Linked DNA regions of Caenorhabditis elegans. The protein of the gene in region 2 purifies or fractionates together with the protein of the main gene of each other region. This does not show direct contact. Each region holds a gene or a part of one and is shown on either strand. Other genes may lie near its edges. The genes, in order: Y47G6A.22, spp-5, nep-24 and asp-14.

What was found.
Region 1: the proteins of spp-5 (region 2) and Y47G6A.22 fractionate together in Caenorhabditis elegans (co-fractionation; one large-scale study listed by BioGRID). This does not show direct contact.
Region 3: the proteins of spp-5 (region 2) and nep-24 fractionate together in Caenorhabditis elegans (co-fractionation; one large-scale study listed by BioGRID). This does not show direct contact.
Region 4: the proteins of spp-5 (region 2) and asp-14 fractionate together in Caenorhabditis elegans (co-fractionation; one large-scale study listed by BioGRID). This does not show direct contact.

What each region holds. Positions count from the first base shown.
Region 1 is NC_003279.8:3,557,438-3,565,867, reverse strand, and holds Y47G6A.22 (DeHydrogenases, Short chain), read left to right. Parts: upstream 1-3,016; 5' UTR 3,017-3,023; coding exon 3,024-3,045; intron 3,046-3,097; coding exon 3,098-3,330; intron 3,331-4,283; coding exon 4,284-4,463; intron 4,464-4,514; coding exon 4,515-4,621; intron 4,622-5,598; coding exon 5,599-5,662; intron 5,663-5,715; coding exon 5,716-5,874; 3' UTR 5,875-5,934; downstream 5,935-8,430. Other genes in the region: lpd-3 (Bridge-like lipid transfer protein family member 1 C-terminal domain-containing protein), read left to right, coding at 488-625; Y47G6A.33 (C6 domain-containing protein), read right to left, coding at 913-1,199, 1,729-1,780; Y47G6A.21 (DeHydrogenases, Short chain), read left to right, coding at 6,072-6,236, 6,840-6,932, 7,300-7,479, 7,537-7,643, 7,707-7,770.
Region 2 is NC_003284.9:7,317,405-7,323,325, forward strand, and holds spp-5 (Saposin B-type domain-containing protein), read right to left. Parts: upstream 2,951-5,921; 5' UTR 2,950-2,950; coding exon 2,797-2,949; intron 2,749-2,796; coding exon 2,590-2,748; 3' UTR 2,533-2,589; downstream 1-2,532. Other genes in the region: spp-6 (Saposin B-type domain-containing protein), read left to right, coding at 1-149, 199-258; spp-4 (Saposin B-type domain-containing protein), read right to left, coding at 940-1,098, 1,199-1,351; T08A9.13 (uncharacterized protein), read right to left, coding at 4,595-4,849, 4,897-5,004.
Region 3 is NC_003282.8:16,921,016-16,929,109, reverse strand, and holds nep-24 (NEPrilysin metallopeptidase family), read right to left. Parts: upstream 4,719-8,094; coding exon 4,569-4,718; intron 4,525-4,568; coding exon 4,395-4,524; intron 4,348-4,394; coding exon 4,262-4,347; intron 4,218-4,261; coding exon 3,972-4,217; intron 3,921-3,971; coding exon 3,636-3,920; intron 3,270-3,635; coding exon 3,150-3,269; intron 3,107-3,149; coding exon 2,852-3,106; intron 2,807-2,851; coding exon 2,644-2,806; intron 2,600-2,643; coding exon 2,331-2,599; 3' UTR 2,143-2,330; intron 2,094-2,142; 3' UTR 2,053-2,093; downstream 1-2,052. Other genes in the region: nep-23 (NEPrilysin metallopeptidase family), read right to left, coding at 5,039-5,212, 5,376-5,534, 5,586-5,833, 5,878-6,040, 6,084-6,338, 7,106-7,234, 7,323-7,505, 7,552-7,781 and 2 more.
Region 4 is NC_003284.9:6,442,555-6,450,553, forward strand, and holds asp-14 (Peptidase A1 domain-containing protein), read right to left. Parts: upstream 4,111-7,999; 5' UTR 4,053-4,110; coding exon 3,956-4,052; intron 3,141-3,955; coding exon 3,012-3,140; intron 2,747-3,011; coding exon 2,610-2,746; intron 2,564-2,609; coding exon 2,168-2,563; intron 2,123-2,167; coding exon 1,963-2,122; intron 1,908-1,962; coding exon 1,823-1,907; intron 1,775-1,822; coding exon 1,678-1,774; 3' UTR 1,631-1,677; downstream 1-1,630. Other genes in the region: K10C2.7 (uncharacterized protein), read right to left, coding at 548-670, 715-879; fah-1 (Fumarylacetoacetase), read right to left, coding at 4,278-4,568, 4,673-4,926, 5,052-5,207, 5,254-5,498, 5,992-6,218, 6,271-6,354; grl-6 (Ground-like domain-containing protein), read right to left, coding at 7,482-7,664, 7,708-7,830, 7,875-7,999.

The DNA.
Region 1 (8,430 bases), on a different chromosome or scaffold from region 2:
AGTAACCCAACAGTCTAACCCCATTAACTCCATCTACAATTATGACCTATGTATTAAAAAAAAACTATTCATACATTTGTTTATATCTAGAATATAAAATACTATAGACATTAATTTTTAATTCGTAGTAAAAAATTAGTAGTAAAAGATACGAAACATAGTGAAAAGTACAATCCCTGCCATTGTAGTAAAAATGTCTACCGTAGCAAAAGATACAAACTGTAGCAAAACATCGAAATATGAAACCGTAGTGAAAGATCCACGTAGTAAAAGATGAGGTAGTAAAAAAGTATTTTCCGTAGTAAAAGATCTATGTGGTCAAATGGTAGTAAAAGAGATCACGTAGTAAAAGAGCCAATTGTAGTAAAAGATCTAAATGCGGAATTCGTAGTAAAAGAGATCTTGTAGTAAAAGAGATACGTAGTAAAAGATCAAGTAGTAAAACAGTATCTGCCTCCAAATTTCAACAAAAAACCAAAATTTTCAGAGTCGAACGGACTCGATGGCACCGACACCAAAACGACGAGACAGCCGTCGTTCGAGCGAAGAAGTTTCCGTTTCAATCGATATTCCCGATATTATTACAGATATTTCCGACGCCTCGTTTAGACCGAAACACAATTAATTGATTTTTTTTTTCTCATGTATTTTCTAATTTTCTAGTCAACAATTATTGGCCAGCAGCTTCTTAATATTTTCTATTGCCTGATTTACGGTTTTTTTTAATTATTTATTTTTTTCCTCCAATTTCTGCTTCCACAAATATTTAAATGTACCAAATAATTTCCAATGAGCTTCTGTGATTTGTCTATTTTTATTTATTTTTTTCTGTGAATAATAATTCATTTGTACTAGTATTTATTAGTTTCATTTGATAAGTTTCCTAACAATTTTTGGATTATTTATATCTTATTACGAGGATCCACACGCAAACGCAGAAAGTGTCTGACTTTGTCCGGGCACACTGATCTTCCATTTCGATCCATCACACTTGATGCTTCCTTTTGATCCAACTTTACTCATTGGGGTCACGAATTCACGTCCCTGTTCATTGTAGTACCAAACATCAGAGCCAGCGGGGCATTTTATCGAATATTGATTGCCGGAGCCGGTTACAGCTTGAGAAAATGGAGCGAAATCGCAGAGGGGACAATTGACTCGGCGGGGGAGGTAGATGCTGGAAATGCCGGGGCAGCCACCTGGAAATTATTCAAATTATTCATTTAGGGCCGCATTTGCGCGTAAAATTTGATGCATTGGGTCAGTGAACTACGACAGTGCACCATGTTTGACGCGCAAATTCGAAAAAAAATTTAATTTTTGGGGAAATAAACAAATTCCCTGTACAAAATTGATATTTTTGAAAACACGTGGTGTCAGGCTGTCTCATTGCGGTTTGATAAACAAAAAATGCGGGAATATTTTTCCGGAAAAATTGTGACGTCAGTAGGCTCTTAACCAGGCGAAATAAGATGAGAAGTCTGCGTCTCTTCTCCCGCATTTTTTGAAGATCAAAACCCAAATAGGACATTCTGACTCCCCTTACGAAAATTCACTTTTCAAATAATCTGGCGAAAAGCAGAAAAATTCGTCAAATTTTAAAAACTATTTATAAAAAATCCTATTTTTTCATTAATCCCATTACACTTCTTTTTTTTAATGAATTGGGTGATTAAACATTATTCGAATTTTTTTTTGTTGAAAAATCAATAATCTCAAAAAACCCACCATAGACAGTGACGATCAGAATCGTAGCCAGTAGAACAATGATCTTGAACATTTCGCCGCTGACCTATCTATCAGTACTCAAACCCTAATTCTCAGCCTTAAATATCGTTACTGCTGTTTTTTTTTCGGCGACGAACGCTCACCCCGCCCCACACACAAAACTTCCTTCATCATGATTGATTAGTTTTTGAATTGAAACGGGAAAAAAAGACTGAACAAAGGGAAATATTATTGAGACGTAGAAAAATGCGCTTTTCACGGTGGTTCAGTTGCTAGATGGGTGCAAACGCACTCCACCGAACAAACGTGCATAACTTGGGCAGGAAGCACAAAATCGAAAATTCATCACAAATAAAGATAGGTATATTCATTGCGGTCATTTCTTATATGCATCGCAAAATCGATTTTGTGATGGTTTTCGAGATAGTAGCCAATATAGGTTTCCAGACTGACACGGACAACTGAAAAGGATCCGCCCCCAAACGTTGGGTCTCGTCAGGTATTGGCGAGACAACCGGGAATTTTTATGGTTTTTTGCCGATTTTACTAGTTTTATGTGTCGAAATTAAGGAAAATCAAATTAAATAACGGTTTTCCCTTTTAAATGCAATTTTAAAAACATAATTTCGATATAAAAATCTTGAAAAAACACGAAAAAATGCTTGAGAACAGGTGAAATCGGCAAAAAAGCGGTAATACCTAACGAGACCCAACGTTTGGGGGCGGAGCTTTTCCATTTGACCGTGGAGCGCGCTTGCACCTCGATTTCAAAAATCGCATTTTTCTGCATCAAAATTTTACGATTTTTTTCTCCATATCTCGACACGACAAATATTTGTTAAATACGAAAAGGTGTGCTCCTTTAAAGAGCACTGTAATTTCTCGTTTTGGAATTTTCATTGACACAGTACTCTTTGAAGGCGCACATCTTTTTACATTTAACATACATTTATCGCGACGAGACCAGGCACCGTAGCTTTGGCACAAAAATAGCAATTTTTTCAAATATCAACTACAGTAACCCACAGTTTGACATGGATTTTGAAATAAAAAAGTTTGCGCGTCAAATGTGATGCATTGAGTCATGTACCTAATGCACCACAGTTTACGCGCAAAAAAATTTGGAAAAGTTGAACTCCTGATGTGTGATGTGTTATCAGGAGCGGAGAAAACAAAATTTGTATTTTTCTCTGGGTCTCGTTTTTTTAGGATGCCGTTTATTATTTGTTTCAAAGATTTTTTTTTCAATTTTCAATTTTCAATTTTAATTTTAATTTTGATTTTGCAGGTCAACCATGCCCGTCGCAATTGTCACAGGTAATAATGACTCTAAATACTTGAAATTCCATTCCTCTCCCCTCTTTTCCAGGTGCAAGTTCTGGTATTGGACGTGCGGCGGCTCTTCTTCTCGCCCGGAACAACTACAAGCTCTCACTTACCGGACGGAATGTGGCGGCTCTCAATGAGCTCGCCGGGCAAATTGTCAGTGCTGGAAGTGATAAGAATGATGTACTGGTGACCGCTGTTGAGTTGGCTTCAGAAGAAGCTCCGAAGACTATTGTGGATGCGACTGTGCAAAAGTTTGGACGAATTGACACATTGGTGGGGGGTTATTTTTGGAAAGTTATAATAAAATTTAGAACTATTACGGGAACATAAAAATAAATAAAATTCTGAGAATTCGTACTGCACAACATATTTGACGCGCAAAATATCTCGCAGCGAAAACTACAGTAATTCTTTTAATGACTACTGTAGCTCTTGTGTCGATTTACGGGCTTGATTCTCATAATCAAGATAATAAAGCCCGTAAATCGACACAATCGCTACAGTAGTCATTTAAAGAATTACGGTAGTCTTCGCTACGAGATATTATGCGCGTCAAATGTGTTGCATTACGCATTTTCAGGATTTTGTGTTCCCGTTATAAAAAATTTTAGTTCAAAATTCTTTTTGAAAACGTAATAATTGCGAATTTTGTAAAAAAATGCACAGAAAATTATCCAAATGTGAAGTTTTGCGACTACTATTGCGTTACAAATACGGTATCTGGTCTCACCACGACTAATTTTTGCAACTTGTAAAAAGGTGCGCGCCTTTAAAGAGTACTGTATTTTCTTTTGTTTCTGCGGAATTTTCATCGAATTTTATACTTTTCGATAAAAAACTGTTTGAAAAATTAAAATTTATATATAAAAATCGAAGGAAAATTTGAAAAAATTCTGTAGTATATGCGAGTACTGTAGCTCAGTTTTGCACCCAAATTTAATTATTTTTTTTAAAATTAAAATTATTTTTGTCGCATTTCACATTAAGATTCAGAGATCTTAGAATTTTTATTTTTTAAAATTTTTTGAGAAAAAAGTTTGCGCGCTTTTTTAGATACTTTTTTTTTCGAATTTTCCAAATTTCTGCCTAAAGAGTTTTCTCATTTTTATTTTCGAGAAAAATTGCACCAACCTGTAAAAAGAAAATATGGGGATAACGAAAACATTTAAAAAAACTCTCCAACCGATTCTTGAATTATTAAACCCTTAAAATATTCTAAATTTCAGATCAATTCGGCCGGGATTCTGCGTGCCGGACCAGTTCTCGATTCTGGAATTGAAGTCTACGATGAGCTAATGAATGTGAATGTTCGTAGTTTGATCCGCCTGACACGTGCAGCTCTTCCACATATTATTACAACAAAAGGAACTGTTGTCAATGTCAGCAGTATTAATGGACCGTGCCCTGTATGATGTTATTTTTTTGTTGAAAATAATTTTCAAATTCGCAATTTTCAGTTCCCAAATGTAACCTATTACTGTATGTCCAAGTCGGCCGTAGATCAATTCACAAAATGTTTGGCTCTCGAAATGGCTCCGAATGGAGTTCGTGTTAATGCTGTTTGGTGAGTTTTCTCGCGATTTTTGCCAAAAAACTACGGTGCCAGGTCTCGAAGCGATCGATTCTCTTTAAGGAGTACTGTAATTACGATTTTTTCGGTTTTTAGGTTTTTTAAAGAAATATTCGAAAAATAAGAAAACATATACATTTCTTCCAAAAAGAAGAAAAATTGTCAAAATTTCAAGATATTTTGCGAAAAATCGGAAAAATATTTATTTTTGAAATCGAAAATATTTTTGGCTTTTTTTTTTTCGAAAAATCGAAAAATTATCGGAAAATATGAGTAAGAACGAAATCACAAAAAAAAACTAGGAAAATTTCCTGAAAATTCTAACTTTTTGCCGAATTTTCATAGGTTTTCTTGTTTTTGTTCAAATTTTGATGCATTTTTATATTTTTTGAATAAAAACGAATTTTTTAAAAGACAGGAGCTAAACTATGGAAAATTGCTTTAAAAATCTCGCAAAAACTAGGAGTAAGTAACTACAGTACACTACAGTACTCCTTTAAAGGCGCACGCACTTTTGAATTGAAAAAAAAAAGATCGCTTCGAGACCGGTTACCGTATTTTGGTGCAAAAATCGCTAACTTTCTCATTTTTTGTCGAATGAAACGCTAACAACACACGTATTACGGGAACACAAAATTTTGGGAATTCGTCTTACGCAACATATTTGACGCGCAAAATATCAAAACTACAGTAATCCTTTAACTGACTACTGTACTGCTTGTGTCGATTTACGGGCTCGATTTTGGAAATTAATTTATTTTCTTCGTTTCTTCGTATTATTTTCTCATTTTCAATAATCTTTTGATAAATAAAAAAACCCGTAAATCGGCACAAGTGCAACAGTAGTCATTTAAAGAATTACTGTAGTTTTGATATTTTGCGCGTCACATATGATGCGCAATACGCATTCTCAAAATATTGTGTTCCCTTAATAAACCCATATAAATTTGTCATTTCTCCAAAAATTTCAGCCCAGGGGTCACCGTGACCAACCTGCATCGTACATCTGGTCAAGACGAGACAACATATTCTGCGGTATAAAACCTGCTGCACTGACCTTGACAAATAAATATCATCATTTCTTTCAGTTCTTGGAACGTAGTAAAACGACACACGCACTCGGCCGTCCCGGTGATGCCAATGAAGTTGCTGAGGCAATCTATTTCCTCGCCTCTGAGAAAAGTTCATTCACTACTGGAGAACTTCTTCGTGTTGACGGAGGCCGCGGAATCATGCATCCGAGATAAATATTAGCTTTTTTGTCTCATATTGAGATTGTTTTGAACTTTTATCATGTAATAAATAGAGAGATACATGTATTTTTTTTAATTGTGTTTTTATTGAATCCTTTATAGTGGTTTTTTCCTTGCTTAATTTTTTTTTTTTTTGAAAAAAAATCGATTTTTTTTTGATTCAGTTTTGAATTTATTCAGAGTATCCGAAAATGCCAGTCGCCATCATCACCGGAGCAAGTTCGGGAATCGGAAAAGGCACGGCTCTTCTGTTCGCGAAAAAAAAGTACCAACTCTCGCTGACCGGAAGAAATACGGATTCTTTGAAGGAAGTCGCAGCACTATGTATTTCAGAGGGTGCAATTTCGGCTGATGATGTGAGTTTTATATTTTAGGAACTGTGACGGAAAGTACAGTATTACGGGAACACAGAATTCTGAGATTGCGTATTGCGCAACATATTTGACGCGCAAAATATCTCGTAGCGAAAACTACAGTAATCCTTCAAATTACTACTGTAACTCTGGTGTCGTAAATCAACACAAGCGCTACAGTAGTCATTTAAAGAATTACTGTAGTTTTGATATTTTGCGCGTCAATTATGTTGTGCATTACGCATTCTCAGAATTTTGTGTTCTCATGATAGCAGTTATCACAAAAAAATTTCGATTTTTTTTCCTCGTTTGTAATTTTTGGAAACACCGTTTTTTTGTCGAAAAAACAAAAAAAATTATTTTTTTAATTAAAAAAAACCGCCGCCATGGTCTTGACACATACAAAAAAAAATATTAAAACTCATCGAATATCAAGAAGTATACTAAAAATCATTAAAAATTACAAACACTTGCAGGTACTGTAGCTATGAATTTTATTATGTCGTTTCGAGACCAAAAATCGCAAAATTTTGCAAAAAAAGGGGATTGAACGTTTTTAGGTGGAAAAAATAGCGACATCAATTAAAAAATCGATTTTCATTCCAGATTCTGATAACTGCAGTGGAGCTGAGCTCTGATGAGGCGCCCAAAGCAATTGTGGATGCAACTGTACAAAAATTCGGAAGAATTGACTCATTGGTGAGGATATTCAGTTCGAAACAATTTGAAACTATCGAGAGAAAAGTTTTTCGGAAATTTAGAGTTTATCCATTTATTATTTACAAAATTTTCAGAAACGCGTACATAGAGGATCACGGATTTATTCGGTTGGGTCTTGCCACGAAAAATGTTTTTGCGCGGTGAGACCCAACTAGATAATTGCGTGCGCCTTTAAGTTCGTATCCCAGGAACAATTGCGGAACTACAATAGGTTTTTTTTCAATTTTATGAAGTCAATACTATTCAAAATTTAAACTTGAAAAATAAAAAACTTCACTTTTCCAGGATCCATAGTTTTTTTTTCGAGAAATTTCCCATTCTACCCTTAAAATATTCTAAATTTCAGATCAATTCGGCCGGGATTCTGCGTGCCGGACCAGTTCTCGATTCTGGAATTGAAGTCTACGATGAGCTAATGAATGTGAATGTTCGTAGTTTGATCCGCCTGACACGTGCAGCTCTTCCACATATTATTACAACAAAAGGAACTGTTGTCAATGTCAGCAGTATTAATGGACCGTGCCCTGTATGATTTTTCTTTTGGAAATTAAAAAAAAATATATTTCGAATTCGCAATTTTCAGTTCGCTGGGGTCACATATTACTGTATGTCCAAATCGGCCGTAGATCAATTCACAAAATGTTTGGCTCTGGAAATGGCTCCGAATGGAGTTCGTGTTAATGCTGTTTGGTGAGATTTAAATATTTTCATATTAAGAGCCCAAAAATTGAGAATAATTAAAATAAATTTCAGCCCAGGAGTCATTGTAACCAACATTCATCGAGCATCTGGGCAGGATGAAGCTACATATGCGGCAGTAAGTCTATTCTAACGACACGCAAGAAGTAATGGGCGGAGTCGGAAGCGCAACTCCGCCGCACGATTCTATTTTAATTAAAATTTTAACTGTTTTTTTAAAATATTCACAGCAAGATCAAATAATTAAAGTAATTCTAAAGCAAGATTTCGATTATTCAACCTGACAAATTAAGATAAATTGATTGTTTGATTTTTAAAAATGCGGAAAAATAGACGAAAAACAGTGCGGCGGAGTTGCATTTTCAACTCCGCCCATTATTCCTTGCGCGCCCTTTTCTGTGGGTCAAATTCTACACAGCGACATTACGGGAACACGAAATGCTGAGAATGCGTACTGCACATCATATTTGACGCGCAAATTATCTCGTAGCGAAAACTACAGTAGTTCTTTGAATGACTACTGTACTCGGTAGTTTGGCTCCCTTGGCGCGCGACGAGGGTGCGACTGGCGCGCGGACGGGGCGCGACTAGACTACTGTCTCGCGATCTAGTCGCACAATTTTCGCGCGCCGAGCGCATTTCTTTCGCACACACTACGCGCCCGGTTCGATTTTTTTCTCGCTCCCGCCGATTTTCATATTAAAATTGAAATCTTAGATTAATAAGAATTGCGTTTATTACAACAACGAACAATGGAAAAATAAAATTAAAAAATTAA
Region 2 (5,921 bases):
TGAAAAGTGCCGATGGAGATGCTGACAAAGACACCAACGACATCAAAAAGGATTTCGATGCAAAATGTAAAAAGGCATTCCACTCGATTCAGTTTGCGCCACGAGAGTGTGAGCATTACGTCGATAAAAAGCTGGATCCAATCATTAAAGTAAGTAGAACATATTTTAATGATGAAATATGAAGAACTATTATTTCAGGAGCTCGAAAGTGGAACATCTCCAAAAGATGTTTGCACAAAACTTGGCGAGTGTTCATAAACTTTTATGCCATTTCAAAACTGAAAATTGGTACTGAATAAAGCATGCAAAATTTCAATCAATCTGAAGTTATTTATTGATTTTAAGCTTCACTCAATGTAGAGATAACAAGGTTTTTATCAAAATTTTTTTTTAATCGCAAGTATTTAATTACCGTATTTCTTCTATTAATATGGCTGCAATACTATTTTTCGAATGATCTTCCCGGTTTGCAATAATAATAGGGAGTGCAAGACTGATAGGGAGTGCAATACTAAATAAATTTTTTTTTCACGAATTGTTGCAAAAAAAAGCAAAAAATGATGTTAAAAACCTAAAATTATTTAGGCGGGTTTGTACCAAAAAAAAATCAAAAATTTATTAACTTTTGTTCATAGGTAAAGCTCCTCGCGTTTTCATTTTCATTGTCCAATAAATTTCATGTTAGAATAAGTGTCAATCAGGCGTGTGCGGCTGACTGATTTTTCGGGTGTCGACTAGTACAGCCAGCCAATAAAGTTAGGCAAATCTAGCAAATTTCTTCAAAATTTGTTAGTTTGTTAAAAATGTTCACGAGCCGAAAAGCAACGAACATTTGTCAGTCGGCTGTTGGCTGGCGCTATCAGCCAAAAACCTCTCTAAAACTGATTTATTAAATTGTTTAAAAATAAGTTCTCCGGTTCAATTATAACACGTCAATGTTTATGGGCATTCGTGGAGCTTTGTGCACACATCCTTTGGAGCAGTTCCGCTTTCGAGCTCCTTGATAATGGGGTCAAGCTTGGTGTTTACATAGTGTTCACATTCTTGTGGGGCAAATGGAATAGAGTGGAACAGTTTCTTGCACTCGGTGTCAAAGTCCTGGAAAAAACTTCCTATTCTATATAGTTGCTAATTTATCTGAGAAACACTACATGATGATGTCATTCTAGTAGCAAAAAGTATATAATAAAATCCTGACCTTCTTGATACCATTTACATCCTTGTCAACGGAGCCGTCGTACTTCTTGACGGCAAGCTCGCACATTTGACATCCCAGGGAATTTCTTTGGTGTGGAAGCACGACGGCGGTGGCTACGAAAACCAAAACGGCTAGCACAAGAAGAGTCTTCATACTGCAAAATGAAACTGCTTGAATGAAATTAGGAATTGAAAATAATCTAAATTATCTATCTGGCACGTGTGACGCAGGTTATTTTATATCGGCACTCAAGCCTGATTATCTCGTTTTCTGATAAGCAGCGTATTCAAATGGGAATTATGTTTTTGATCGTTGTCGATTTTAGTTTGATTGCCGGAACAATTGCCGGTACAACCGGAGGAAAACAGTTTATAGAACGGAGTACGTCAGAAGCAATGCGGGTACATTTTTAGTTCCCATTTACATTTACTGCAAGTACGTATACCGTTTTCCTATTTCTCCTTTCATCCCGCTTTTCAGAAAAATATTTTAAATTTAATTTCGGAGTTTTCAACTTTGTAACAAATCACATAATTTGCTATAAAACAAAAATTAAAAATTCACGTTAGTGTAAACCCGTGTGATTTGTGACTAGTTTTGAATTACGGAAAAAAACATAAATTATTTTCTGCTCAATTACGTGAACAAATGTATTATGCATACGACTTCCTACATTAAACAAATTTTTTTCAGACTCCCTCTGTCTTTTTGAAGGAATTCGATGACTTTTTGATCTATTGAACTTAATTTTCTGTTGTATCCGTAGATAAACGGAATATTATGTGATTTCACGTGATCACAGTTTCGATAATTGTGAAAAAGTTACAGGTATTATATATTGCAAATCATCAAGACGCGGCACTTCCCTGAAATTGTATGTTGTTATCTGTAAAAATTAGGTGTCCAGGGCAGGACAATTTCACAAAGAAAACTTATCAAACCAAACTCCTAATGTGTCAAAAAAGTATCAAAGGTTTTGAAAAAAGTGTACTCATTTTTCGCTGTTCAATCAATAATTGTGCGCGAAAAGCTTTCAAGCTTCAAGATAATTCTAGAAACTCAAGAAAAGCTTGCAACGAGCTTTCAGCGTTTCAAGCAATAACAGTCACGTGTACATGGTGTGCAGACCGGGCAAGTTCCAAACTCTAAAATCATAATGATACACATTTTTTCAATTGTTCCCCACTCTCCTGGATTGAAGCTTTTTGGATTACAGTCCTTATCAGTACTATTATGATTCGTTATTAGACTTGAGGCCCTTTCTAAAAAATAAGGTCCAATACATTTCTGGTCACAATTATTCTATATTTATCAAAATTCTGGTTGAAACTTTTAAAAATCGAAAATTTATTGGTAAAAGTTTCAAACAAGTAAAAATTTCAATGATCCGTTTATGGGCATTCGTTAAGCTTGGTGCACACATCCTTTGGAGCGGTTCCTCCTTCCAGCTCGTGAATGATTGGGTCTACCTTGCTGTTGACGTAATGATCGCATTCTCTGGTTCCGAATGGGATGGTGTGGAAAAGCTTCTTGCATTCAGCATCGAAATCCTAGAATATTCAAGAGTTGTTGGTTTTTTTCTAGCACGGATTTATTACCTTCTTGATGACATTGGCATCCTTATCGGCGGATCCTTCGTATTTCTTGACAACCAACTCACACATTTGACAGCTCAATGCGCTTCTATTTTCTGGGATGGCAAGTCCTGAGGCAACGGCGACCAAAACGGCTAGTACAAGAAGAGTCTTCATTCTGTAATAAAATAAATTGAAATGAAACACTGAAGCATCAAAACGCAAGGAAGAATTGAAAGAGCACGCGGTGATAGGGGCGCATTTATAGCAAAAACTTCCCAATTTTGATTACTTGACCATTTGATAAGAAGCAGCGTCGAAAGCGGAGAGCATAATGTATGGAATAGAAAAAAGGTTACAGATCGACAACATATGCATTAAACTCGTGATAAATAGGAAAATTGTCCGGCTTGCAGGAATGTACTAAACATTTATACTATGTTGCAATGCATGATAACTGTTTTTTAACGATCCAGATGTATGACATTTAGAATAACGTCAACTTACGTTGTTATTTGTAAATATATTTAAACTTTCTTTGGATAGAACGAGTAGGTAATGTACAAATATAAACTCGTTTATGATCAATTTTTTGCGAACTTTCAAGTTAATATAAACATTTAGTATTATTGCCACGCCACGACATAAACATGAATTTAAAAAATTAATGAAACTATATTTTGAATATATAACTGTTTTCGAGTAAAAATACCACAAAGTAAGAGAAGTAGGTGTTTATTTTTTTCCAGAAATATATTACTGTTTCGGCGGTAGTATTTAGTTTCCACAACGTTTCAGTGTTTTATTCCGCTCTGATGTTCATCTGGAAAAATAATGTTGTTCAACTTATTCAATTTTGTAAGACTGCAAAAATAGTCATCAAATAAGTTTAGATTCATAGTAAGTAAAAGTTGTTTAACAAAATAGTGTCCACTAGATTTACCGAGAGGTTCGAGGCAATGGATTAGTTTTAGATAAAACTTTATTGTTTCTGAAAATTATGAAAGGACTTGTGGCATTTGTATTCGGAGCGGTTTGAAACAACATTTAATATTTTTTTGCAACTATATCTTTGAACGTGAGGTTATTCATTCCGTTTCAGATTTTCCCGCATAGACTGTTTCTATTAACTTCCCTAGAAACCTAAGATCCTTTGTATGATATTATAACCGATTTATGACTCAATATCGCATAACTCTAACAAAAAACTTATCATGTGGTAACATTCAAAATATTCGCACATTGTCTAGCTTTAAGAGTCAAAATTAATTCACTCCCTATGGGAAAAGTGTTGATATAATTTTTCATTTCCTTGTCTTTGCTTCTGATCTCCCATTGTGAATAGGGAATTCAAAATTTTCAATCGAAGTTTTGGTAACTGGCCTTTTTTAAGTAAATTTTTTGAAAAAAAAATGGAAGCGATGCAGCAGGTTTAAAATTTCTATATTGGTCAATGACAACTATTTAAAACATGGTTAAAAATTGGCGAAAATTCAAAAAAACATGTTTTGGCCGACTTACAAAAGTATAGTCATATTTAACTGAGTTTTCAACCAATATCATCGAACTAACTGCTCATAGATAATTTTTTTCTAACGTTTTGCGTTTTGATATTGGGTCATTTTAACAACATATAAATGCTTTTAAAGATTTTCCCAAATAATGATATTTTGCTTTGAAATGTTGGACAGACAATGTACCAAGACCATGTCAGAATTAAGACAATGCAACAATGTTCATATGGAAAGACTGCATCAGATTGAGACCTATTAATTATAAAATTTCAATAATTTAGAAATTTTAACAGACAAATCAATTATTTTCACTTTGTCAGTTCCTCGCCTTTGGCTCCCATAATTACACGTGCATCCATCACAGCTTGAGAAGCTTTTTGTGCAGCAATAATGGCTTTAGCTATTTTCTTTTTGGTGAGCGTCTCGTTTTCTTTCCGTTCTTGTTCCGTCAATGTTGGGATTTTTTTCAGTACATCGTATTGGTCAAGAGCCTGTTGACATTCAACCCTAGTTCGTTGCTCGAGCTCCTTCGCTTTTTGAAGCTTTTCCAGTTCTGCGTTTCTCTGAAAAACTGTTTTTAAAGTTCAAATAATTCTGATTCGAAAATTACGAGTTCTGCTGTTCGTCTGGCATGTGGGTCGGTAATATTGTCTACTGGAATTGGTGCAGTGCTGACGCTTGGCCGTGAGGATTCAAGAAACCGAAGTGGCATTGGCATTTTGACTGAAATTTGAGATGGTAAAAAGAGAACTTACTTTTTTGCATTGCACAGATCAAAAATTAAAAAAAAAACAACAAAAAAGGCACAGAGCAGAAGTTTACATATAAATGAAACCATGGAGATCTTTGCCAAAGTCGCGTTTTATAAAAGTGACTTTTATGCATCATAAAGTCGGAACGAAAATTGATGAATGGGGTTTGATTTTCACACACACTGAGCGACTAATAAACTAATAGTTCAAGAGAGCAATATCGCTGGGGCAGTTTAAGAAGCGTTTTTTATGTTTCTAATCCGGATCTGCATCTCTGAAAATCACGTGCTGGAACGAAACTGCAATTGGAGCTGATGTTAGATGTGAATACATTGACATTAAAAAAAAAATACTAGATAGAACAAAATTCAGACTTTTTAAAGTTCATGTTAATGACTGATGTGAAGAATGAGCAAAGATGAATGAGTTTTGCATGAAAAGGGATTAGTACTTGTGAATGAGAGTTATCGCATTGGTTTTTGAACGTTTTTAATTAATTCTTAAGCATTGAATATCAACAAGACGAGTAAGGTTTTTGTTCTGAAACTTCACAGTGCTTGTTTTTTTTAAATTTAGAAGAATTAAGTTAGGATAGTGAAAACTAAAAAGTAAGTAAAGTTGTTCTAACCCTAAAGAATTTTTAAACCAAGCAGGTGGAAAAATTACAATATAAAACATTACAGCATGATACTTACATATAATTTTAATGACCTTGTTTTGAAATATTAATGTTTCGACCCTTAGTAGTCAAAATTAAAATGAGCAAAACGCTGAAAAAAACATCCTGAATAACTCTGCGTCATTATTAATTCTGCCACTTCACTCATTTTGTATCTGATGTTTGTTCACGCTTCGTGGATTGACTGATCATTCGGAAAGATAT
Region 3 (8,094 bases), on a different chromosome or scaffold from region 2:
TTGAAGTTCAAGGCAAAAGCAAGGAAGTCAAGCGGATTCGATCTAGTCCGAACGAGCACACAAACCGGCAGATGTTGCAGTTCTTCCAGATGGACAAGCAGATCCTGGTTGGCCGTGCTTGAAGTCAGATTGATCGGCGGCTTTGCTGAACAAGATTTCACATTTTTCTCAACCATCGTCACAAAAACTTACTCCAATGAAGTTTCAGGGGTTGGCATGTTGACTTCAACTCCTTCGCAAGTTAGAGAAACGAAAGCGATGTGAGTGTCCAGAGGGTTAAGGTAGTATTCCACAATTGCTCCGAAAAGACTAATGGCCTAAAAAGCCCAACTAATAATTTGAATTTACTGAATAAACGTACTGCGAGATCTTGCACCTCCTTTGGCTCGTTTTCCAGATGTTTGCGAAGTAGTTCCACAAAAGCGGTAAATTTCTCACAAGTCATCTCTTTCTTCAATTTGTTCTCAAGTTCCATACTGTACTCCTAAAGATTATACATTTGCTGGCATAGTTTCGTAAATCACTCACCAGCTTATTCATATTGGAAATTGAAAGCTCCTTCGAGATTTGACTACGAACATTGTTGACAGAATCCAGAAGTTCCAGTTTCTTGTCTTCCGGTTAAGCTTCTCCACGCTTCACAACAATTACGGAGGAGAACGCACTGTGAGCTGAAAAGAGGAACATGTTCCTTTGACTGTACTGGATCCATTGAACAAACCGCAGATGAGGACGAGCATGGCGACGCATGGGAGCATCTTGGAGGAGGCAATCATCGCTGGTAGGGCAGTCGATTTGATTCGTCTTGATTAGACTGACTATTTATTCTGCCGCTTATCGGCTAGGCATTGGCACGCAAAACGAGGGAGGAGCACCCTAATATATCTGTAACTTGGTAGATGGCAACGTACAGTCTTTTTGTTTCGCATTGCCGCTCAGCAACAAGGCATTGGTACAATAACATAGAGAAAGGGGGAGGGACTGTAGATTTCTATGTGCCAAGTTACATATATAGATTGCACTATACATATGTTTATCTATAGTGCGATCTATGTCTGTAACTTGGCACATAGCTCTGCCGCCCAGCGGCAAGGCATTGACACACAAAACGAGGGAGGAGCACACAATTATACAACCCTAATATATCTGTCACGACCTACAGTTTTTTTTGCTTTGCACTGAGACATCGGGACCGGGGCTGTTGATTTTTTTTTTGGTTTTTGTTTTTTTTTTGTTTTTTTTTTTTGGTTTTTGGGAACAAATATTTCAAGAAAAATTTCCGTTTTGTCCCGTTTGAAATCAAAATTCAATTTTTTTTGTGTTTTTTTTTGTTTTTTTTTTTTGGTTTTTTGAAAAATTCTATTTTTTTGTTTTTTGGTCCAAATTTCAAACAAAAAATTAGTTGTTTGTTTTGGTCGAAAATTTTTTTTGCAACAGCCCTGATTGGGACTAGGATGACACCTTGTACCAGGGGTGCGCGGAAAATCTCAAAACATGCCGAGCTCGGCGAATTCGGCAAATTCGGCAAATTTGCCGTGCTTAACAAACTCCGAAAAATTTGATGTTTTTGGAGCACCAAAACTACTGAATTCTTAACACACATCTGGTTTCAAAATAAGTTCCGTGTAGTCTGGCTGCTTCAACGTCAAAATAACTCAATTTTGTGTCATTTTACAAAATTTTTGGGGAAAAATTCAATAGTTTTGGTCAAAATAGATAGTATTGTCAAATTTTTTGATTTGAGCGGCAAATTCGGCAAATCTACTTTTTTGAAATTTGCCGAGCTTGGCAAACGGCAAATTCGCCAAATTCGCCAAATTTGCCGCACAACCCTGGTTTGAATATTCTTATACTACTCTTCTCAAAACTAAAATTCATGTTAACAATGCATATTTTATTCCAAAAAAAAAAAAAACAAAATATCAGAGCATTTTACACTTCTTCACCGGATTCATTGGCAATCCAAGCGGGCAGTTGAATGTCTTCGCAAATTCTGGCACGTTCTGAAAAACTCCATTGACACGGAAGGCAAACGCCGGATGGTTGGAAGCCTTAGACACTTCTAGCGAAAGTGGAGCCGGCGTACAGAAGCTCTGAAATATGACATATTTTTATTTATTTTCTCACTAGCACTTCACTAACCATAGCTGAAATACGGAAGAACAGTTGGTCCAGATTGTAGTCCTCGAATCCAATGATCTTCTGATCCTTCGATCGATCCGAACTCTTGAAATCCCTCCAATTAACATCAATTGCAATCCGATCTGCTACTATCTCATCGATCACCATCGATCCATTATACTGAATGTTTAATAAAATTGAGTATTTTTTCAAACTATACAGCTTTTTGCAATTCTCCCGTACTCCGGATCGTCATACTCAGTATATTGATCTTCCAGGCATTTCACCCTCTTTTCGTACTCCTCTGTCTCCTTCGGTGTTAGCCAAACTTCTGTTGTACCAGTCATTATATCCATCAAATGCGGGCTGAAAGTGTGTCCCATTTCATGAGCAAGTGTGTTCGAAGTGAATGCGATGTTTGCATAGTCCGGGAAACTAGAGTCGAAAAATGGATCATCGAAGAATGGGGCAAAGATCACTGCAAATATATAATTATGATAATTAATTATCTTGCAAGTTTACTTAGATTATTATCATTCGCGTTATACATGGCATTAGTCATAAGTCCCGGGAACAATGGATAGTACGGCACTTCTCCGGTATAATAGTCCATCTCTTGTTCACGCATGAATCGATTGATTTTTCTGACAACCGTGTAATAAGTGTCAGATGAAGACAGATTGAGCTAAAATTGAATTATCAAGCCCTGATTTCTAGGAGGTCTACTCACATGTTCGAATAGTCCATCCAGTTTTCCCGGTGGATCAAAATAGTCTGGATATCCAATTACCATATTCATACTGCTGACTCTATCCATCGCGATTTTCTTCGATTTAATGCTCATCCAATCAGTTGCGCCGATGATCTTCAACAGTTGAACTTGGGTGGCTTCAGTCAATTTGGTGATTTTCTTCCGATTCTCCTTACTTATAAAGTTGCGATAGAATGCACGAAGAGCAGCACGAGGGAGAAAGTTGATGACTTTCTAAATAAATTTTTCGAAAGAAAAAAAAATCATAGTACTCTACCTGTTCGCAAAATGCCGATGGGGAACCATATGTCAGGTCTGCGATAGACGTATCGATGAATTTGAAGATCAAGTAGTTGGCCAATGCTCTTTTAGAAGTGTTCCGAATGATTGTTTCAAGCTATAAGGAGAATATCTTCCGGAGAGTCGAAATATAGTGCTTTGGAGGCAGGCGCGGTTTCAGGGTCTGACGCCTGCCTCTCACCTTATTTTAGCGAGATAGGAAAGACACAATAAAGTGTGAAAAGTGGCTCTCGGGTTCTGCGCGCGAGGCAGGCGGAGGACGGGGGCCTGACGCCGGCCCGCCTCCCGCCGACCTCTCGCCTCATAATGACAAGAAATGAAAGACACCACATAGTGCTAAATGTGGCTCTTTTGCAGCGGCCGACACTTTTTGGGTTTCGCGCCGCACAATACAAGAGGCGCGGCAGGCAGAGGCAGGCGCTTTGGCGCCTACATGGAAGCCCTATCAAAATATAATGCTTACATTATTATTTTTTCCAAAAAACAGCGAGGTGTTGGTTAGGTACATAATCTGATACACTTCCGGGAATAAAGTTCTTTTGTCGGGGCTCATCATTTCCAAGACGAGCCTTGAAAAATTCACACTTGACACAAAATCTGATCGCTCAGAAAAAATATATCCTGGTTGAACTGTGTTGAACTTGTGCTGGCTTAACGCCTTCTCCAAATTAACATACTCTGCCAAATCGTCTAGAAGCTTCTTATTGTTCGTCTGAACAGAATTAGCTTTCAGAATCTCGGAAATTGTCTGAAAATTCAAATTTTTAAGGTGCAAAATGTATAAAATTGTATCCGAAACCTTTCCGAGATCTACGTTGTGACGCCAAGCTGCTTCTGGGCCTATAGCAAAATTTCGAACGTTTACATACCGTGCCATTTGAAATAGTCCAAAATTTTTTCTTCCCAACCTCACTAGATTAACAAGGAAATCATTCAGATCGAATTTCGACTCATCCCACTTATCATCCACCACTGGCCAAGCCCCAATGCTCTGAATATCTTGGAAAATGTCCTGAAGAGCTTTGTTACGACTGGCTGTGGAATTCTGAAAATTAAATTTTGCTTTTAAAATTTTGAAAAAAAACTTACTTTCTCCAAGGTTTTACACGCTTTATACAAGGTTCTCATAGCATTCTCCGACTTCGATCTTGACGTCTCGTTCTTTTTTAGAAATCCTGAAACAGGAACTAAATTACAGAAAAGAATAAAAGCTAAAGCTCACTTTTCATTATATTATTGATGGTTTTTGTTTTTTTCGTGTAAATATCTTCCGTTTCGTGCTCATGCTCTCTCCCGCAAGCGAATTGGTGGAAGTTGTCACACGGATCAACTGATGGGTCGTGGTAGTTGTGCTGGAAGTTTGATATAGTTGGAAACCAGAGTGCTAGGAACTTACCAACATGTGAGCAAGAGTGATGCATGCTGGAGTATTACAGACATTTCGGGTAGCAGGAGTTGTTGCTCCGATGGCGAGTGGAGCAGTACAGGTGAGAAGAAGAAGAAGCATAAATCCTGGCAGCTTTTCCTTGGCTTTTTGTAGACTCATTATCTGAAATTATATGTTACAAGCAGTAAGAATATAAAAACGACACAAACTGAAATAGAATACATGAAACAGAAAAAAAGTTTGTCAAAAAATAAATGTTTTGGTGAACAGTAACGTATCAATGATTCAATTCAAACATGTCAAACAAAAGACAAACCACCTGTTGTCACCGATCAACATTCGTATTTGATCAGAAATCTGAGCTGATTCATTAAATGGTATCTCTTTTCTGAACAAAATGATGAGAATGTTACTATAAATTAAAACAAGAAATCAGGGAGGAATCAAGTTCATTTCTAGTAAAAACCTAAAACACAAGTTCAGAACATATCACACTTCTTTCTCGGATTCATTGGAGATCCCGTCGGGCAGTTGAATGCTCTGGCAAACTCTGGAAGATTCGCATAGACTCCATTCACACGGAATGCTTTCCGAGGATGAGAACTTTCGATAGACCCTTTCAAATCACGCATCGCATGAGGGGTGCAGTGTGTCTGAAATAGATACTTTCAGAAAAAACTGCTAATATTAGTTTCAAAGCACCCGACATCTAATGGTCCCGCTTTATGTCGGCTGTTGAATGGCTAGACAACACTGTACCAAAGTGTCGACCAATCAGCGATGAGGGCGCGTGCTGATTGGTCGACATGGACTCACCAGGGCTCCAACACGGAAATACAGTTGGTCAATGTCATAGTCTTCAAATCCAATAATCCTTGTCGCATTTGTCAAGTCAAGACTTTTAAACATTTTCCAAGAAACCTCCCGTCCGATATTATCCGCCACAAGCTCATCGATCACTTTGCCGCCGTCAAACTGAATTTCTCGTTGAAAAATCATTTTTCAAGATCACCTAGTTTCACTTACAACTCGTCCAAAATCTGGATCATCATATTCACTGTACTGATTTGCCAGGCACTGCGCCCTGCTCTCGTATTCTGCAAGTTCTTCCGGTTTCATCCACACTTCCCGTCCTCTGACAGTTCTCAAAATTGCGTGTGGACCAAATGCGTGACCCATTTCATGACCAATTATGTTCCCAGACATGGCAATGTTCACATAATCGGGGTAGGTCGAGTCAAACATTGGATCATCAAAGAATGGAGCAAGGAAGTCTGGAAATTCTTTGAAAATTAGGTTAAAAGCCAATAGTACTTACTCAGCTGATTTCCGGGAATATAGTAGTAGGCATTCATTTCAAAAACGCGTAAATCTGGATCCAGAGGTGTCTCTTCTGCGAAATAATCCATTTTTTGTTCAACAAAATACCTTTCGAGCTTGTTGAGAGCTGTGTAGTACGTGTCAGATGAGTCGAGATTTAGCTAAAAAAATTAAGTAAATTAGGCATAAGTTTTCACTACTTACATTTTTAAACATGCCATCCAAAGTGCCCGGTGGCTCGAAAAAGTCCGGATACCCAATCATCTTTCCCATCGCATTAATTTTGTCTAGAGCAAGTTGTTTGGATTCTGCCTTTAGCCACGTGGAGTTCTGAACCAAAGTGTGAAGAGCGATTCGAGTTTTTTCGGCCAGCTGGGTGATCAGGTCTCGGTTCTCTTTGTCGACGTAATTGCGAATGAAGACTCGGAGAGATGCACGAGGAAGGTATGTGATGACTTTCTAAAAAAATATAGGATTTTTTGTACAGCCAATATTATCCGCCGACATCTCACGGGTACCGCATCCCACTAAGATTATCACGATGTAGGTAGGCGCTGAACCCGTGAGGTGTCGGTGGCTGTTATTTGCTTGGGGTCCCGATTTAGTTGCCAACCCAGAAAACGACCCAAAAACGGTGTGACCTAATTTTTGGGATTTGTTTTGCAGTTTTTCTAATTTCAAATGTACGTGTTGTCTTTCGTTCGAGTCGTTTGAGGTTGTGCAGCAGCCGACGCCTACCGGGCTGCAATACTAGCTGTGCTGTAGCGGATCCCGGCAGACGTCGGGCGCTTCTAAATTCATGAAACATGAGACAACTCCTGGCGACATTAGGGGGAAGGTATGCGATGACTTCGAAAAAAAAGGAGTTTCGTACATCGTGGCATTTACGTACGTACAAATCCATAAGACTGAGCCCTTTTTTTCCCGGAAATTCACGGAGAAAATGCTAAAATCGCAACCCCAACCAGTATCATCCGCCGACATCTCACGGGTACCGCACCCCTCTGTGTCTACCTCGTAGGCGCGGAACCCGTGAGGTGTCGGCGGCTGTGCAGTCCTTTTGAGATTGTGCAGCAGCCGACGCCCACCCCGGCTGCAATACTAGCTGTGTTTTAGCGGATCCCGGTAGACGTCGGGCGCTTCAAAATTCATGAAACATGTGACAACTCCTGCATTTCAAAAAAGGAATATTGTGAAGCAGCCGACATAAATTGGGCCCAACTTACATCTTCACAAGTGTTTCCTTTTTGAGAAGTTGTTTCGAAAACCAGATGGTCCAATGAACTGTCAATAAAGTTGAAGATCAAATAATTTGCCAGTGTTCGCTTGGGTGTGTCAAGGATGATTGCTTCCAGCTGAAAATTATTATTTCTACAAATCTAGATAAAGAATTTTCTTGTAACGCTGTGAGCTTTGAGCACAAGCCCATTCCACCCAACTCACATTCATATTCTCATCGTTGAACAATGTCTGATTCAGTACACTAGTCTTGAGCTCAATCTTCGGCATCAAGTGCTCCTTTCCCGGGCTGATCATTGCTTTGACAAGCCCCATAAAGTCCACACTTGGCACCAGATCATCAAGCACGGCGGGCTTCATTTTATCCATATTGTCCAAGTAGTAATGCTGAAAATTTAGTTTCGATTGTAAAGTATTCAAATTAAAATGTCACATTTTTCAATAAAGCTTCAAGAGATGCAAAACCCTCCAAATCTTTCAAAAGTTGTATCCGATCTGGCACAAGTCCATTTGTCTCGAAAATATTTAAAATTGTCGGCTCAAGCTTTGAGTAGTTCCTGCGGTGTTCCTCGGCGCTGATTAACAATTGGTCACGGTATTTGAAAGATATTTGGAACAGTCCAAAATTTCGTTGGCCTAGCTTGACTAGGTTATTGAGCATTTCTAAAATAACTATTTGAAGAAAATGTTAGAAGCTCTCAATACCATTCAAATTAAAATCCGACTCATTCCAATTTCGACTTCCAGCCGGCCAGGAGCCAATGCTCTGAACATCTCTGAAAATATCCCGGAGCGCTTGTTGTGCAATATCTGAGGAGCTCTGGAAGTTAGTTAGTTGTGGTGAGTTTTTCAAAAAAAAAATTATGAAAGTTACATTAGCTCGCTGATACTTTGAACATATTCCATGAAATTTTCTCATTTCGTTCTCGGATTTCGAAGTTGGTGTTACTTTACGGTTTGTGATAGTCTCTGAAAA
Region 4 (7,999 bases), 880 kb from region 2:
AGTGCATATTCAAATTTTAGAGAAGCAGTTAAAAAGTATATTTTGCAAATCGTATTTGTTCCGTGAAATTTATCATTATTCGGTGTATATTCAATATGTGTTGAAATGCTCGATTATTCATTATTTAACATCTCATATAGTGTCAACAACGAAGAGAATTAGTTGCAATTGTGATCAGGATTGAGCATATTATACAAATTTACAATTTTGTTCACGATTGTTGCGACTTCGTGCCGATTTTTTTTGTTGCATCCTTGAGAAGATTCCATGTGTTGATCTAAGCAGGTGACAATTGCGTCTTGATTTTGACGGAGAACGTCCAACTCTTTTAGAGTATTTCTATTTGTTAATCCATAATTGTTTGAGCAAGAAACGTATTGGTGATATAGCTCGTCCTGAACAATCATTTTACATACACCAAAAAAACCATTTTAAAAGTACCTCTTTCCAACAGTCACTCGGACTCATTTCTGTGGAAAAGCTATGAACGATTTCAGTGATTTTAGAGGTAATTTCATGAATTTTTATTTGTGCACTACACACATTTTCATTGTTTTTTTGTACATAATGACATCCATCTCACTACATTATTAAGTGAAAGCAGCTCTTCATGAAGAGTTGGTTGTCTTGTTGAGTTGTTTTGATAGTTTTGGATAATCGCCAAACTTTTCTGAAATATTTTACTGTCACCAACTTATTTTCTGGGAAACTTACTGAAAATGAGCTGCCGCAATTTTGGAATTGAGTTTGCTCCTTTACGTCTTTACATTCGTAATTTAGTTGGTCTTTTATAGCAGCCATGTTCACAATGTCGGTTGCTATGTCAACCACTCTGGCATTAGCTTGAGCTAAAAAAACCGCAACAAGTATAATTAGCATGGTGAAGATTTTAATGAATTGTTGCAAGACAGGTTCTTATATAGTTATGTGTTTCAAGCAGTATTTATGAGACAGTTTGAGTCACAATACAAAACAGACAATGTAACAAATAAATCGTTTTGAATATGTCGGGTGATGTTTGATGATCTTTTTTATTAAATGGAAAATGTCATTTTGTATTTTATGACAACCATACAGTAATTGTTAGATGTGAATGTTTACATTAAAAAATGATCATTCGATACAATGAGTCAAACTTCGTCAGTCATTATCCAATAAGCTTTAGAACAGAATAATGATATGTTTTTACTAACATTTCTACTGATAATTTTTAAATAGAAAAATTTTTTAGTCCCTTTTGTTTGTTTGACGTTATTTGGACCGACCGGTTGCACATGCAACAGCGAATGCTTTAACTAGCCTACTATGTTTAACTTCTTCCAACCGCCCTATGTAGAATCTGCTTCTAACTACATAGTAGGCAAGTTAGTTCGTTTCAACATTCAGAAAATGATCAGTTTTGGAAAGTTTAAGATACTTTCTTCGAAATCTTTGTATATTTGAGAATATAAAACGTTCTGAAAGTTTGGGAAAGTTTTTGAAACACTCTAGAACTTTGTAGAACATTACTATGTGTAGATCAGAAATACTATCAAATATGTTCTTAAACCCATTCCCAACTATCCCAATAGTCTTACAATGTTTTCAGAAATTTCTCAAATGAATCTGAATATGAACCGCATAACGGCACTTTTTAAATTTAATGATTTATTTTTATTCCACTTTCAAATATTAACACTAATCTTGGAGAAGCGCTGGAGTGAACCCGACTCTTTGCATGATTGGATCGAAATATGTGCAACGTCCACGATACAATGGAAGACCGAGAATGATTCTGAAAAATTTTTGCATGATTCAATCCATCTTCTCAATCATTCCTTACCTATCAGTGGTTGGAATAATTTGGAGTCTACATGTTCCGAAGAAGCTAATAACAAGATCTCTTTCCGTAATTGAGACTGTTGTACCTGAAAATAGAGCAATTATGTAAAACAAGTGGAAGGTACACTGAAATCGACATACCAGAAACAAATCCAAAAGTGAGGGTGATCTTAGTGTTACATGGAACAATTGTTGGGTAGATAGCATTCATAACGTTTGTGCTGATGCCAAGGGAGTCAAACACCTGGCTAATGTAAGTTTTTGGAAGTCCAATTTGGGCGGTGGTGGTGTCAAGGTAAGTCTGAAATTTATATTTGTTGATACATAAGAGATGCAATAAACTCACTTGAATGTACTTGTTGTTGGAGTTGGTGGCGGATGATCCTACAACTTTGAAGGAAGACATCGTGAGTTGGTATGCATATGCAGAAGCCAATGGGACGTATGTTGGGTTTGGAGCACAGTGCACTGGATCAAATCCTCCGTAGTAAATAACTCCGTGGGTTCCGAGATCATCAGTTTGGTTGAAGTGCTCGAGCCAGATGGAGTAGAATGTGCCCGAAATGTCTCCAGCGTTAACACCTTGAACGAATGGTGAGTTTCCACCGATTTGCGATGAGGCTGTGAATCCCAATCCCAAAATTCCATCAGCACCCAATCCATCCATCAAAAGTCCGAGGTCGGTAGCTTGCATAAACTTCACGCCTGGAATGGTGATCAAATCAGTTTTGCGGTCTCCGATCTGGAAAAAAATTGTTAGGACTTAAAAAACAAATTGAAAGTATTACCACAACAGTGTCTTTTGCATCAAATCCTTGGAAAGTTCCAAGATTATTCTTGTACGTGTACTTATTTCCATATGCATAGTAAGACGACGACTTTGCTTGGTTGAATCTTCTCTTGTTGTAGCAATTATTTGCGGTCTCTGAAACATTTTCCAGTTTGTATCTTTTTCACTCTTATCAGTAGTGTGGAGTTTTCAAAATTAGGAATGTTATGTGCACTAAGTGATAGTCTTTGACCGATAATCAACATAAAAAACGATTTTAGTGCCGATATAATAGGGCAAATTGTCAGCAAAAGCTGACAAAAACTGTCATCATTTCGTGATTATGTTCGAGATGTTTTATACATTTAAAAGTCGTAAAACTATCAAATTGCAATCAAGAAAGCGATTGGTTGAAACTCACTGCAACTCATATCTGGAATAACAATGTCAGCGGTCGAAGTGTCAATGACAACAGTGAAAAGTTGTCCTGGTGTTCCCATGGTCAAGTTAGCAACGAAGAAGGTTGAGGTTTGCTCCAGAGTTTGTCCTCCTGGAATTAAACTTCAGTTTTGAAAATCTAAGGAACTTGTGTATTATATACCAAAAGTAATTTTCAGTACAAAACAATTCACTAGTGGAATGTAATAGATTTAGAAAACCATTATTCCTAACAAGGGAAGGCTCTGAACTCGTTATCGGACTTCGTTACGCCACTATATACATTCGATAGAGAATAGTTACAGATGATCACTCCAAAAATTTAGCTGCTTCAGAGCAGGTTTGATCAAGTTACGACATTTTGAAAGTGCCAAAATACCCCTTTTTAAAAATTCCAAAAAAATCAAAAAAAAAAAGTTTTTTTCTAAAAGTTGATATAAAATGTTTTCAAATAGTTGGAAATGATGGAAAAATCATACCACACAAGTTTCAGTTCATAATTCTCAAAACAACCAATATATAATTGGAAATCAACCGCAACATTGTGTTTGTAAGTTATAAGCTTTATTCTAAGTTAAATACATTCTACTCAATGTCGTAAAGGAAATAATGTTTGTTCATTCACTGTACATTTTATGTGGCTTCGGGATATATATATACGTGCTCTTAAAACAACTTACCGCTCTCCACTATTATTACTCCCAGTTACGTGTCTATCCCTATTTTGAATAAAATATAACGTTAATGTACCATTAAATGTTCATGTTCAATCAAACGTGATCGAAATTTTTATACGCTTCGGAAAATAATTCAAAAAAAAAATCAAAAATAATGCTTAAATGTTCATTTTAAATTTTGTAAAGGCTTCCATTTACAAACACCAAATTTCACTTTATCTGAAACAAATCTGTAAATTCTCATACTCACCTTTGGTAATGTTGGTAACTGCAGCATGAACTTTGAAAGGAATCACAAAAGCTGAGGTCGAGGCCACAAAGGCCAAAAGCAAGATTGTCTTGATCATGATTGAACTGAGAATGATTTCCAAGCAACCAGCTCTCCTATTTATTCGCTCATGCTTTGAACTGATAACATAGAAACCAAAAAATCGTGACAAACCCCTATCATTTTCGACACTGCACACTTCCACTTTCATCACTTTTCGTGGGCTTCAGAACTTTATTCGACGAGATACTACTAACAAACGAGAGAATGAAACAAAAAGCAAAACGATTTAATTACGATGATTTTAGATATCGGCTGGCAGGACTTTTCCGCGGCACTCTCCGAAACCAATTCTGACTCCATTCTTTTCACAAACTCCAGAAAGGTTGACCTCATCTCCGTCCTTTAAGAACTTTCGGATTTCTGAGCCAACTGGAACTTCTTTGGCTCCGCGCCACGAAAGCTCGAGCATGGATCCATATGCACCTTCTTCTGGTCCAGATACAGTTCCTGATCCCAAAAGATCTCCAGCGCGGAGGTTGCATCCATTGACGGTGTGGTGAGCAAGTTGTTGTTTTAGAGTCCAATACAAATGCTAGAAATTACAGTATTGTAGTTGAGAAAACCTTAACGAGCGTTTATGATCCAATTTACAGTGAACAGTGTAGATAATATCGTTTCTACTAAACTTGAACATACCTTGAAGTTAGTTTTACAGACAATATGGTCCACAGCATCTCCTTCTGGACGGATACTGACGGCCAAATTGATGTCAAGGGTAAATGGGTCATCGTGATGGAGATATGCTGGTGGAACTGGATCTTGTACTGGATTCTCAACAAAGTATGGACGAAGAGCTTCAATTGAGACGACCCATGGAGAAACAGTTGTGGCAAAGGATTTAGCAAGGAATGGGCCGAGTGGAACGTATTCCCAAGCTTGGATATCGCGAGCTGGAAAAGTTTTTTTTCGGATGAGTATGGAGCAAACTTGAAAATAACTACTGTTGAATTTTCTTGTCACCAAAATGTCGAGTTTAAATGTTTTTGTTTGATATTTAATTAACATCGTTACTCACCACTCCAGTCGTTCATGAGCACAACTCCAAAGATACGATCCTCAGCCTTCTCGATTGGAACACGAGTTCCCAATTCATTTTCTGGACCTCCCACAAAGAACGCCATCTCGAGCTCAAAGTCCATAAGCTTTGATGGACCAAACGATGGAACCTCAGCTGAAAGCGGACACATTTGCATTATTGGTGCAAATCTAAATCTTACCATCTGGGGCCTTAGTTTGTCCAACTGGTCTTTTCAAGTCTGTTCCAGATACAACGATTGATGAAGCTCTTCCGTGGTATCCGACCGGAAGCCACTTCCAGTTTGGCATCAGAGCATTTTCCTTTCCACGGAACATGATTCCGACGTTGGTGGCGTGATGGATGGAGGAGTAGAAATCGGTGTAATCTCCGATTTGAGCTGGAAGGTGCATTGTAGCATCGGATTGAGCGACAAGAGCCCGGCTTCTGTAAATAAAAACATAAGAATATTATTACAAAGTTTCTTGGTTGTTTTAAACAGAGTTATATGTAAGTTGTGCGCAAAACGTACAAAGCTTCTAATTACAGTATGAGATTTCAATTTATAAATCAAAAATTAATATAAAAATGTAGGTTTTTCTCGATTTTGAAATAGATTTTTTTAAAAATAATGCCTACAAGTCGCCAACAAAGTTTAACGATATATTTAAAGTCAAATGAAGTATTTCAAAAACTTTGACGGGTTTCCAGGCGTTCTCAATAAAATAATTTTTTTCAGATTGACCGAACATTTTCACATACTTCTATATACATTTCAACTTGCCAACTTGCTGCACAGTATTGATTCAACTTTGCAATTATAAACTAACGATAAAAATTAAAACTTGTGAAATAGTTGTTTAGATTTGGTTAGTAGATTATCAGACACACTTTGTACTACTTTTTAACTTTTTCAAATTTGTTTTGCCAACTTATTCACCTCAAATGAGCGTTATCCCTAAGAACAGCACAATCCTCTGAGAGCAGTTGTTGGATTCTTGCACGAGCTTCCAACCAGGCTGGACGTGGCAGTGCCATGAACGCGTTCAATGTGCTCTGCTTGAAAACATCCTGATGTGCCTTCAATTGAGGTCCGTCAAAAAGATTGGCAATTTCTGCCAAGTTGAGGATTTGATCTCCAATTGCAACTCCAATGTGGCGGGAAGACTGAAAATATTTAGTTTAATTTTGCTTTAGAAATAATTATTTATACACTTACGTCAGCCTTTGTTGAGAAAACACCATACGGTAAGTTTTGAATTGGGAAATCCGAGTTTTGAGGAACAGAAACGAAGGATTTCATGATTTAGCCTGCAAAGCAATACAAGTTTTGAAAAATGGAGTTGAGTAGACAGCAGTCTGTTATGTCTCCGAAACTGTACACGCATGCGGCGTTGAAACAGAAAATAGCATACAGGTTGGAGAGGGTGCTAGTGACAAATACAAAAAGGAGTCGTACACGCATAGGCCAAGGTCGATACACGACTAAACGACCACCAATAAAAACAAAACGATAACCAAAAAAAATGACTGCACACAGACAGTGACAATGACAGATGTGCACCACTGAAACCGCTATATAAGGTCTCACAAATCTAATTGAAAAGATAAGATGATGATAGTGACGTCAATTGGATAAAACAATAGAGTATATCAGATAAGTTTTGACAAGAGAGAGAAAACTACATTGGATGCAAATTGAATTGCGAAACAGTCACGTGATGATTTTTTCTTGAATGTTTGGATGGCATTATTCTATAGTTGTTTGTTTGCATTGGCAATGATACTGTTTCATGAATAAAAAGCAAGTAGGAGTATGACGATTTTAAAGAGTGGAGAACTAGTGTTTTTTAGAGTTGCTTATGTTTATAATATAGAAATCTCAATTCCATGAAGATAAATTGCTACTAAAACGCTTTTTATATCAGAAGAAAAACGGTCTCTAGCAATTTGTATCTTAGAAAACTCTTACCACCATTTCGAGTAGAGAAAACGTTTCACAATCGGATGTAGGTTTTTAACCTGTAGATTTCAGATCACCACAGCCTGCTGAGCAGGTCAAAAGTTGTAACTTAAAGGTGAGTTGTATTGTTAAATATTATCGGTAATTGATAAACAGGTACGGCGAGTGAAATGGTCAAAAAAATATAAAAATAATTTATTTCTATAATAAAGGGTTGTAATACACAAGAAACATTTTTTAAGGTTAAACATTTTGAAAATACAAACACCAACAGCGATGAACTATTGAATTAACACTTTCTCTACTGTCGTTGAGTATAAGTGTTAGTTTCAAACTTTTTATATCTTGTTGGATTTTGCTTTTACGAAATCAAATTGAATTAAAAACTTTCAAAAAATTAATTTATTGAAGCCAGTAGTGGACAGAAAAAGCAGGAAATACAGACAAAAAAAAAACACCAAATAAGTTTATTGCAATGGTTTGAATGCATAACAGGTGACATCTTCCTTAAATGCTTGGCAGAATGTATCGGTATGAGCTATGTAACTGAATTCTCCTGTACCACAAATAACGTTCACCTCATGGCCTAGTGTTTCTTCGGCAATTTTCTGAATGTTCCTCTTTGATTCACTTGCATCTTCGCTAATATTCTGAAAAGAGAGTAGGCTTGACGTGCAAAACGAGTGTACTCACATCAAGGATAATGTTTTTCAGTTCGGAACTGTTACACGAAGGGTCGATTGTTTTGGCTGCAAATGCGGCGCGTCTCACACTTTTGTACTTGCATGGCGATGAGCAGCCACAGCAACAATCGTTCTGAAATGATATTTTCTTAAAGGTTCTTTCAAAAATCTACCAACCTGAGCTGGAATTCTGACTGATGGTACAACTGCACCACCTCCACATCCTCCAGCTGTTGGCATTGGCTGAGGCATCATTGGCTGATAGTACTGGGGAACATATGATGGGTAGAACGATGGTCGTT